Regions from separate parts of the Mus musculus genome. Here region 2 is reported to be linked to region 1. The links are microRNA targets in miRTarBase. Many come from high-throughput screens and were not tested one by one. Region 1 holds a microRNA gene; the other region holds the end of a gene's coding sequence.
Evidence for each region. Region 1 holds the annotated microRNA mmu-miR-339-5p (UCCCUGUCCUCCAGGAGCUCACG, at 1,470-1,492, shown strand). A microRNA usually pairs through its seed, bases 2 to 8, with sites in the 3' UTR of a target mRNA and lowers its output. Matches are read on the target gene's strand: a 7mer-m8 pairs with bases 2 to 8, a 7mer-A1 pairs with bases 2 to 7 and ends in A, and an 8mer does both.

Region 2: miRTarBase lists Ramp1 as a target of mmu-miR-339-5p. Seed matches in the 3' UTR shown: 7mer-m8 at 883-889.

The regions. Positions count from the first base shown.
Region 1 is chr5:139,366,128-139,371,199 of GRCm38, reverse strand. Mir339 (microRNA 339) reads left to right here and starts at 1,455; the gene lies at 1,455-1,550. All of the region lies in intron 2 of 3110082I17Rik (RIKEN cDNA 3110082I17 gene), which reads left to right.
Region 2 is chr1:91,223,012-91,228,083 of GRCm38, forward strand. It overlaps Ramp1 (receptor (calcitonin) activity modifying protein 1), which reads left to right. Exons shown (of 3, transcript NM_016894.3): 3 at 95-2,185. The coding sequence ends at 350. Among named protein-coding and RNA genes, the nearest start is that of Ube2f, 25 kb to the right of the region's middle.

The DNA.
Region 1 (5,072 bases):
CAGAGACATCTGACCTTGCTTGCAGGGTGGTTGCTGGGCCCGTTGTAGCAGGAGAAATGGCCTTTCCTTGGCCACAGCAAGAAAGCTTCCATGACCTTAATGTCACTTGGGGGTCCACTAGGCAGTTTGGGATGTGTGAACACAGCTGCTCTACCAGAGGAAGCCAAAATCAAAAGCATTTTGATTACCGGCACACTCAAATAGAATTGGGAGTGGGGCACGTGGAAACCAGGCTAGAACAAGCATCCCTGGGTGGTGGGCATGCCGGGAAGCTCTAGAGAAGGGGATGTGGGTACCTGGCCCTGGCTAGAAAGAAGGCCTCCAGCTAGGGCGAAGGAGGCAGACTGCAGCTGAAATGAGACTGAGTCTCGCTCGGCTCAGGGACGCAGCGCAGGCTCTGCACAGTACACAGGTTCTTGTGTCAGCAGGCTTTTCCTGGCCTGGGAATGCTCAGTTATAGATGCAAGCCCCTCCCTCTCCTTCACTTCAGGGTCTCCTACTGCAGGGGTCTGATTAGAGACCTCCCCATCTCCCCCGCTGCAGGGCCCTCTTCCCTGCCTGTTGGCTGCTTTCTGCCATTTCTGAGTAGACCTAGGTGGGAGCTTGTTGTGTGTGTCGCCCTCACGCCCGTGATTCAGGTGGCAGGGGCTGACTCTGTCCTTGCTCTTGGACCAGGAGCTTCACTGATGGCCGAGTTGGGCTTCCCACTTAAACTTGTGCCAGAGCTGCTGGGACCAGTTCCTGTGATCTGCAGGCAAAGGGACGGAAGTTTTATCTTCTGGAGCCAGCCCCTCAGCCTAGTCAAGGAAATCTGCACCCTGTTCAAGCTCCTGGGGTCTGTCTGCTCCTGTGTTGGAACTGGGGACATGTGAGATAGCAGTGGGAGAGGTTAGACCTAGAAAACCCATGGGACCTTCATAACCTTGTTGGTGGGGCCAGTCAGCCTGAGTCAGGTGAGCTGAGGCCAGAGAGCCAAGAAAACCGATGTATAGTCGGGGACTCACAGCCTAGAGGCCTTGTGGTCTGTGCTGGAGTCTGTGAGAAAGTTAATTCTCTGGGCAGCCTGAGGTCAAGACTTAGGCTTTAGCCTGTGTTTAACCCCCAAGTAAGTGACACAGGGTGTTTCTGCCGTGACTGCAGAAGGACCTGTGGCCTGGACAGAGCCTGGGCTTGGTGGCGGTGACAACATCACCTCTGGGGATTCGTGTGTCCTGTGGCAGCTGGTGATGGCCCAGTCTCCTGTTTCTCAGGGATACATCAGATCTGCTGCTCACTTCCGCCATTCAGGTCACTGAGGAGGCAGGGTGCCGCATCTGTCATCTTTGTCTTTTTCAAGCATGGGGCTTAAGTGACATTTTGTGCATTTGAAAAGTCATATCTAGAAGGGGATCCCTAGGTGGGTGTGACCCTTGCCTTGGCACCAAGGTGGTGAGAGCACAGCTGTGCAGAGCTGGACGGGGTGGCCACTATCCCTGTCCTCCAGGAGCTCACGTATGCCTGCCTGTGAGCGCCTCGGCGACAGAGCCGGTGTCCACCCCTGCACTGTCCACAGACCCTTGCCTGCAGACCAGGGTGCTCAGTCGCTGGCTGTTCATGCTGTACCTTCTTGAACTCGATTGTGCAGATCTGCAGGTTGTTCCGTGGATGGAGGGGACTCTGGTTTCTCTGTGCGGTGACGCAAGGCACTGACCCCTCTGGGGTCCTAATCATCTTAACCTACGCAGACACTGAGGGGGAGGGGAGAGGAGCCAGGAGGGAGCCTTCCAGGTCTCTCCCTCTGTGTGTGTCCTCTGTAGCACCAGTTGATTCTACTGCGTGTGACCTATGTCCTGGCAGTTGGTGTCCCTGGGTCACTTCTACATCCACTGTGTTTCAGTAATTACCTCCAAATAAAAAGCTTCCTTTAAAACAAACTCTCTCCCCTCTCTTCATTATGTTGTTGTGCTTTTGCTTTGTCTTCTGGAAATCTTGCTACCGAGTGAGTGCATAGCCGGGCAGCAGTCTGCTGAGGTCTGTGAACCGGAATGGGCTCTCAAGGTCGAACACCTCTGTGGGACCCTGGACTCGGGCTGGCTCCAACTGAATGGAGGAGGGCTGATTCTGGGCTGGGGAATGAGAACAGAGTCCACTGGCCTTGGCACCCAGCTCGTCAGCCTCAGCAGGCTTCGTGGTCTCCCCCCACAAACATCGCTGTCACTTGTAGGCCATTCCCAATGTCTGGGGAACAGGTATAGGGGTGGTAGGGACCAGAGACCATGCCCCAGCCTTGGAGGCACCACCTGGGTATGTGATAGACAGGCCAGGTGCTGGGCTCCATCGACCATCTGCTGTGCCCTTGGGACTCTGTCCTGTGTGAAGCGGGTCAAATGACTGGATTCCCTGCCACTCAGCTGCGCCCCCAGTACAGCTGCTCTGGTCACATGATGGGGTGGGGACAACAGAGGGTCCTTCTACCCTCACCTGTGTTCATCCTTACACCTGACTCAGTCATTCCAAGAAAGAAGGTCCTACAGAGCTGTGTGTCTGGCACTGGCTACCAGGGCCTCTACTGCCAAGGTCTACAACTAACCTTTGAGGGGTTTTTGTTTATGTTTGAGACAGACTTGCTAAGCTCAAGCTAGCCTTGGACTTTCAATCCTCAGGACATATTCACCAACCTCCTCCACAATTCCAAGAACGTTTGAACAAGATGTTTTTGAGCCCAGTGGATGCTCAAAAACGCTGGGCATTGACTGCCTCCCCAGGACAGCACAAATCCCTATTAAGAGAATATCCCCAGTCATACTGCCCCAGCACAGGTGATGCCCTGGCCAGGGCCAGCAGCTCCTTCTAGCTGTGTGGAGAAGGAGAACATCTCTCTGCCCTGTGAACTTCATTGGGGAAGGACAGTGGGCCCTTGCCCTTCCTCCTACACAGAAGGCCTCTTTTACCCCCATGGGACCCAAGGGAGGGGCAGTGGTGGGGTGCTTGAAGCTGCGGTTTGCTGCAGCACCCACCTTTGTGTGCCTCCTCAGCGCCTGAGGCTTCAAAAACAGTAAGGTTCAACCAGGGCTTCCTGATTAAACCTGGGGAACAAACAAGAGAAGCAGGCCCACGCAGTTGCCCTGGTTCAAGGTTGGTCCTGGGTTTACACACAGCCTGGTGAGGGCAAGGGAGAAAGTGCCGCCTGGAGTCTTTGAGCTGGCAGAAAACACCCACTCACCAGGATGCCCCTGCTTACAGATGGTAGAGTTAAGCCTCCTCACCAGCAACAGGCACAAGCAGGCCAGACTCCCCTTACCAGTGTGGCTCAGAATGCCTGGCCAGGACTCTTCTCAACATCCAGAACTCAGGGAGCCTGAGGCAAGATTGCCCCTAAGGGGACGCTAGCTAGCCTGGGCTTTATAATTCCAGGTCAGCTTACCAGCTAACCTACACACACACACACACACACAGGCTGTGCCCTGTCATGGACACCAGGCAGTCTTGAATTTAGCTACCAAGGCTGTTGGGAGATGGTCCAGTTTTCTTCTCAATCTCCAGAGTCACCCAGCAAGCCTTGCCTGTTAGCATGGGACAGAGGCTGCCTGCTCCGCCAGCCCTGGATCAGTGCAAACCATGAGTGGTGATGGAGATGTGGGTGGAGGAACCCTCAGGGTGTGCCATTTGGGAGACTGCTGATGCTGCACTGGCCCCAAAGTGTCAGCCTTCCTTGGCTTTGGTAGGGACAGCAAAGAGCTGAGCCCACCATCCATACAAGGACCCTCCGTGGGTGCAGCATTCGCTCAGGCCAGTGTGCATGTTTTATATGCATGCCTGAATGAGCATTACATATGTACCCAGAGTTCAGAAGAGGACTTTGGGCCCTCTGGAGCTACAATTACAAATGATTGAGAGCTACCATGTGGGTGCTGAGAACCAAACCCAGGTCCTCTGTAAGAGCAACAAGTGCTCTAACCCACCGAGCCATCTCCACCCAGCATGTGTGTGCCACACCCTACCTCTCTTTTAAAAAAGAGCTGGAAAAGAGGGCAGCTCTAATCCCGGGACTCCAGAGGCTACAGAGACAGGAGAAGTGCCAGCCTGGGCCACGTACCAAGTTCCTCTTTGAAAACCAGGGGGCTGGAAAGATGGGGGTCTCAGTTTAGAGCACTTGTCCCTCTTCCAGAGGATCCAGTCTCAACACCAGTACCCATGTGACCAAACCATCCCGTTCTCCAATAACTCCAGTTTCAGGGGACCTGACACCCACTTCTGACATCAGAGGGTACCAGGCACACACATGCGTGTACATATATGTGGGCAGAACATCTATGCACATAAGTAAATATTTTAAAAAGTAACAACAACAACGACAAAAAAGAAACAGGAGGTGGAGAGACGGCTGTCAGTCCAGCGCTTGCCCGACAAGCAGGAGGACCGGGGTCAGATCCCATGAGAGCCCCCTGAAAGCTGACTGTGGCGGTGTGTGTTTGGAATCCCACCGCCAATACGCGGTACTAGGATGGGCAAGTGTTCCACGTTGCCTGGGTTATGCAATGCTGGGGCTAGAAGCCAGTGTCTGCATGCTAGGCAAACACTGTACCAACTGAGCCCCAGCCCCAGCTCCCATTGCCTAACTTTGATGTGTCCTTTCTCTCTCTGTCAAATCCCAAACGACAGAGTGATGGCACTGGGATGTGGTTTCTTCAGTGGCTACAGATAGAGACCTCCCTCTACAGTCTCCACAAGGGCCAGCATGATCCCCCTCAGAGATCCAGTGGAAAGGCAGTGTTAGGTTTTGGGGCGGGAGGCATTTCGGGGGAACACTGTGATCGGTCACTGTAGAGCAGTGGTTTTCAGCCTGCCTTCCTGATGCTGCAGTGCTTTGATACATGTTGTGGTGACCCCACCTCCAGAAAATTAATTTGATTAATACTTCCTCACTGTAGTTTTGCTACTATCAAGAACTGTAATGTGACTAGCGGGCGGGGGGTGGCGGGGCGGTCCCATTGGTTGGGGGTTTGTGACCCACAGGTTGAGAACCGCTGCTGGATTAAAAGAGTTGCTGACATGAGCAAGCAGGCAAAGGCTTGGTGGATCCTCCAAGAGTT
Region 2 (5,072 bases), not on the chromosome of region 1:
TTTAGAGTGGGGGAGGGAAAGGACTGCTTTGCCTCTGTCCAGACAAAGCTGAGTCCCAGCTGGGTCTCCTGACAACCTCTCTTTGTATCCACAGGAGCTATGGGGAGCTCACTTACTGCACCAAGCACGTGGCGCACACGATTGGCTGTTTCTGGCCCAATCCGGAAGTGGACAGATTCTTCATCGCTGTCCACCATCGATACTTCAGCAAGTGCCCCATCTCGGGCAGGGCCCTGCGGGACCCTCCCAACAGCATCCTCTGCCCTTTCATTGCGCTCCCCATTACGGTCACGCTGCTCATGACTGCACTGGTGGTCTGGAGGAGCAAGCGCACAGAGGGCATCGTGTAGGTATCCCAGGTGATGAGGGATTGGGGAACCATGGGCCTAGCCCAGCAACAGCATCAGGAGCAGGTCCCACCTTGCATCCTGCTCTAGCCTAGTTAGCACAGGACTTGAGAGTGGCTCTGCATTAAGCTGAATATGCCCTAGCCAGAGGCTTCTAGCAGGGGAGCAGGGGCCTGCCTCTGCTTACCTCTGAGATTGTTCTAAGCACCAGGTCTCTGGTACACTTCATCACCACTGTGGGCATTCTGAACTCCAAGGAAGACTGCACAGATGTGTTTGTAGATGCACAGTTTGTGATTAAAAGAGTATTCTTAAACCTGGGAAGTGTTCTGTCTGGGTACAAATAACCTATACAGGAAATCAAGCCACTCGTGGAGATCTGTCTTTTGCTGAGGAGTTTATCGCAGGGTCTCTAACCAGATGACACCCAGTCAAAGATCCCCTGAGTTTGTTGAGGGGTTCCCAAATGATTCTGATGCCCTTGGCCTCTACTGCATGGTCCCTGCTTTCTTTTTGCCTTTCTTGGGTTTTTTGAGACAGGGTTTCTCCATGTAGCTCTGGCTGTCCTGGAACCTGCTCTGTAAACCAAACTGGACTTGGACTCAGAGATCCTCCTGCCTCTGTCTCTCAGGTGTGCACCACCACTGACTGGCACAGCCCCTGCTCTTAGTACTTGGAAATAGTCATGAATTAACAACTAGCGAGAGAGAATGCCTACCGTGAGCCAGAAGCTTCGGCTGAGTAGCACGTGAAGAGGGTGCTGTCTCTGTGTCCCTTCCCTAAAGGTCACCCTGTCTTCTCTGAGAAACCCTAGTGCATAGGACAAGTGAAGGCCAAGAGGTGCCAGGGATGTGACCTCCTCCTCCACTCAGCACTGTCCCTTCTGTCCCTGGGAAGCCATGGACAGTAGTGACAGCATTAATCTGAAAAATAGGGTTGAGCTATGGCAGCGTGTGCCTGGAATCAAAGCACTTTGGGGTGTTGAGGTAGAAGGATTGCTGTGAGTTTGACGTCAACCTGGGATTTATAAGCCTGTTTATAAAAAAAAGAAAATGAGGGGGAAGGGTGGGGAAGAATGAAGAAGAGACAGAGGAAAAATGCAAAAGAAAATAAGACTGGGCTCATTTGTGACCTGAACTGGAGACCAGAGACCAGCCTGCCTTCCCGGACTTTGACATGGAAATCCAAAGGATGGGAAAACAAGACATGCATAAGTCACAGAATCCAAAAGCTGCAAGAGAACCAGGGAGCTGACTTGGGAGATGAAGCTGACCCAGTGCCTCGTTCCCGGAACTGCGCATACTAACAAGTTCTCAGGGTTTCCAGTAAACCAAGAAGGCTGGGGTTTGAGGTCATCTGCAGAGCGTGGCCATCCTGTGCTCAGCTAAGCAGGGGGACAGGCAAGGGAGCAGTGAGCCCAAGACCCCTCACACATGACCCCTCTCACAGGATGACTGCTTGTACACCAGCCTTCCAGGGAAGCCTGGTCCGCTGGGAGTGGATCTCCATCCATTCCTCAAAAATGAGCATTAGCGGTATCCTCCTGAAAACAAGTCAGAAGTGTGGAGCAGAAGTCTTGAGTGTCTGTTTGCAGTCATTTCTCTTGTAGGAACTCATCCCAAGTACATAATTACCATGTGCACAAGGGCCCGTGGGGACCAGGAGCGGAAGAGAGGAGACACCCTCGATGGTCCAACTGGAGGACTGCTCCATCAGATTAACTCCAGATGATGGAAGGCAATGGTTTCCTTAATGGCGTCCTTGGGGGTGGGGGGGGGGGGTTCCCAGTGTGTGCAGTTCATTGAAAATGCAGATTTTAAAACAGGAAATCAAGGTGACCTTTATGCTGTGTTTGTTTACACACAAAGTTCCTTTCCCCAGGCCACATTATATTGGGGGGACGTCCTGTAATAGGGCTCTCAGAAGACAGAACAACACTCTCAGTTCTGCATCTGGCTGCCACCGTCCCAGCGGATGGGCATCACTTCCCGGTGAAGGGTGATATGGTCAGACCCCAACTGGCTGTTCTAGCTGTGTGTACTTGAACAACTAATTCAGCTCTGGTAGCCATGGGGGAGATGACCTGGCATATGCAAGCCCTCTGCCTTATCCCAAGGATGGTGTTTGATCTCCTGAAAGACCAAGTGGCCAGTCAGAGGAGCCTCATCCTTAGGGCAAGGCAGGAAGCATGTTCCCAAGGAAAAACTAGCAGTGACCCTCTCCCTCTTTCCCACCTCAAGGCAGGGCTGCTTTGTGTAGCCCTGGCTATCCTGGAACTATCACACACACACACACACACACACACACACACACACACACACACTTTTTTTCTCAAGATAGGGTTTCTTAGTCCTGACTGTCCTAGAACTAGCTCTGTGGACTAGGCTGGCCTTGAGCTCACAGAGAGATCTGCCTGCCTCTGTCTCCTGCATGTGAAACACATTTAAAAAAAATTCAGAACTTATGTGTTTATGTGTTTGAGCATTTGGCCTACACATATGTATGTGCACCATAGGCCATTGGAGGTCAGAGTAGGTATCAGATGTTACAGATGGCTGGGAGCTGCCATGTGGGTGCTGGGAACTTAACCCAGGTTCTCTGCAGGAGCAGTGAGAGTGTTTAACTGAGCCATCTCTCTAGCTCGGAGAAGCTTTTCTTGGGGGGTTCACCTGTGTGGTGAACATAAGAAGACCTGCAGCCCATCATTTTTAAAACTATTCAAAACAGCAAATTCCTTATGGGACTAAGCCTAGACGGGCTAAGGGGTTGCCGACTTTACTCTGTCTATTCACACGTTAGAGACAGAAAGTTCCGGAGACAGGCAGCTCGAAAAGTGATCACTCTTCTTGAACCCACACCAGCCACACTTCGTGCCTAGCCACCCACCGTGCAGGACTTTCTCCAACACGCTGTCAAGAGTCTGGGGAAACTTGTTCTCCGGTCACCCCTGGCGTTAGGGCAGGAAGTGGGCAGGGTAGCTGGATGTCAAGGGCAGGTGGCAACTACTGTTCGTGTTCAGTACAGGCTGTTATGATCATGTCTGCATTCTACACATGCCCATCCCATCTAAGGCACAGAGACACGTGGAACTCCATGTTTAAAAGGGAGAACAAGGAGATGGCTCAGTTAGTCAAGTGTCATGCAGGCGTAGAGACCTCAGTTCAAACCCCTGATTCCATAATAAAAACAAAACAAAACACAAAGAGGCTGGGAGGTGCCCACTGGTAATCCCTGTGCAGGAAAGAAAGAGACAGGTGACTCTCTTGGGCTCACTGGCCAGTGAGCCAACCCAAACCAATGAGACTTCCATGTGCATATCTGTGGCGTGTACAAAGGCTTCTAGCAAACAGCCTGGATCGAATCAGACGCCAGCTGCAGTGAGGAGGCAAGCCAATCAAATCAGAGGCCAGCTCACCAGGGGAGAAGCAAACCAATCAAATCAGAGGCCAGCTCACTTCTGCCAGTGGGACAGCAAACCAGTGGCTCCCTGCCCCTTGGTTTCCTACCTACCAAGGGATGACTATGGGCCTTACTTCAGTATTTGCAAGGAGAGCCCTTGACTTGCCCCAGCACTTCACAAACGTTCTGTTCACTTTGGCCACAGGGACTCAACTAGGCACAGGGACCTGTGAATGGACAACTGCAACTGTGACTGACAATGCCCCACGACCACCATACACGCACACACACAAACACACACACACACACACACACACACACACACACACACACACACACTTCTGCCTCTCGATATGTCCTTTTCTGTTATCCACAGGCTAAGCGGTGAGTGGCTAGAGAACACTTACTGGCGGTAACAGTAGGAACTACCAAGTGGACACTTTCTTCCCTTCTGCATAAGACCGGAAACACTCCCTGGAGCTGCATCACCTCACAGGCCCCAGCTTGGGAGAAACTTGCTTTCTCTCAGTTCTCCAGGCTGGAAGCCTGACCTCCAGGTGTCAGAAGGCTTGGCTCTCCCTCTCTGGGCTTGCAGATTCCAGTCATGGGTTAGGGCCCACCCAGTGACATTGCCTGGCCATAATTACCTCTTTAAAGACCCTCCCTTTAAGTGGGGATCTGAGATCCTGGGACTTAGGGTCTCAGCATATGAATTTGGGTTGGGGAGTAGGGGGGCGGACAATTTACCCATGGCAAAACCCTGTCTCCCCAACGGCCAGCTGGCTCACTGCAGCCAGTTAAATCGGTTATGGGCCGGTGTCACAAATCTCCATGAAAACTAGGGGTAAACAACTCTGGCCAGAAGTGCTGCAGAGACATCATTGCAAGAGGGAACAAAAACCTGCTTCTCATCAAAGCCCATCAGCACACATTCTTGTTGGGAAACGCCAGGCTCAATTAGGAAGGCGGGTGGTGGGGAGGGTCTCCGGGGAGACTCCTCGGAAAATTCCAGAACCCGTCTTCCTGGCTTTCATTTTGTCTCATTTTCAGAAAAACAGGCAGTGTTCCTCTCCTGCTGCCCTGTTCCTGACTAGATAACGTTTCTTGTTCCTGAGCTGATAATGTTTCTTCCCCGCCCTCCACGTAGACACAAAACAACAACAACCACAAAAATACAACGAGATGAGGGTGTAGGGGAAAAAAGAGAAAATTCTTTTTCTTTACTTAACTGGGTCAGCTGTCGGGAAAGCAGGGGTTGGGGGCGGAGATTGTTCAGGAATGTGGAGGGGGTCTGTGGATCTGGAGCGGGTTGGAGGAGACCTGCAG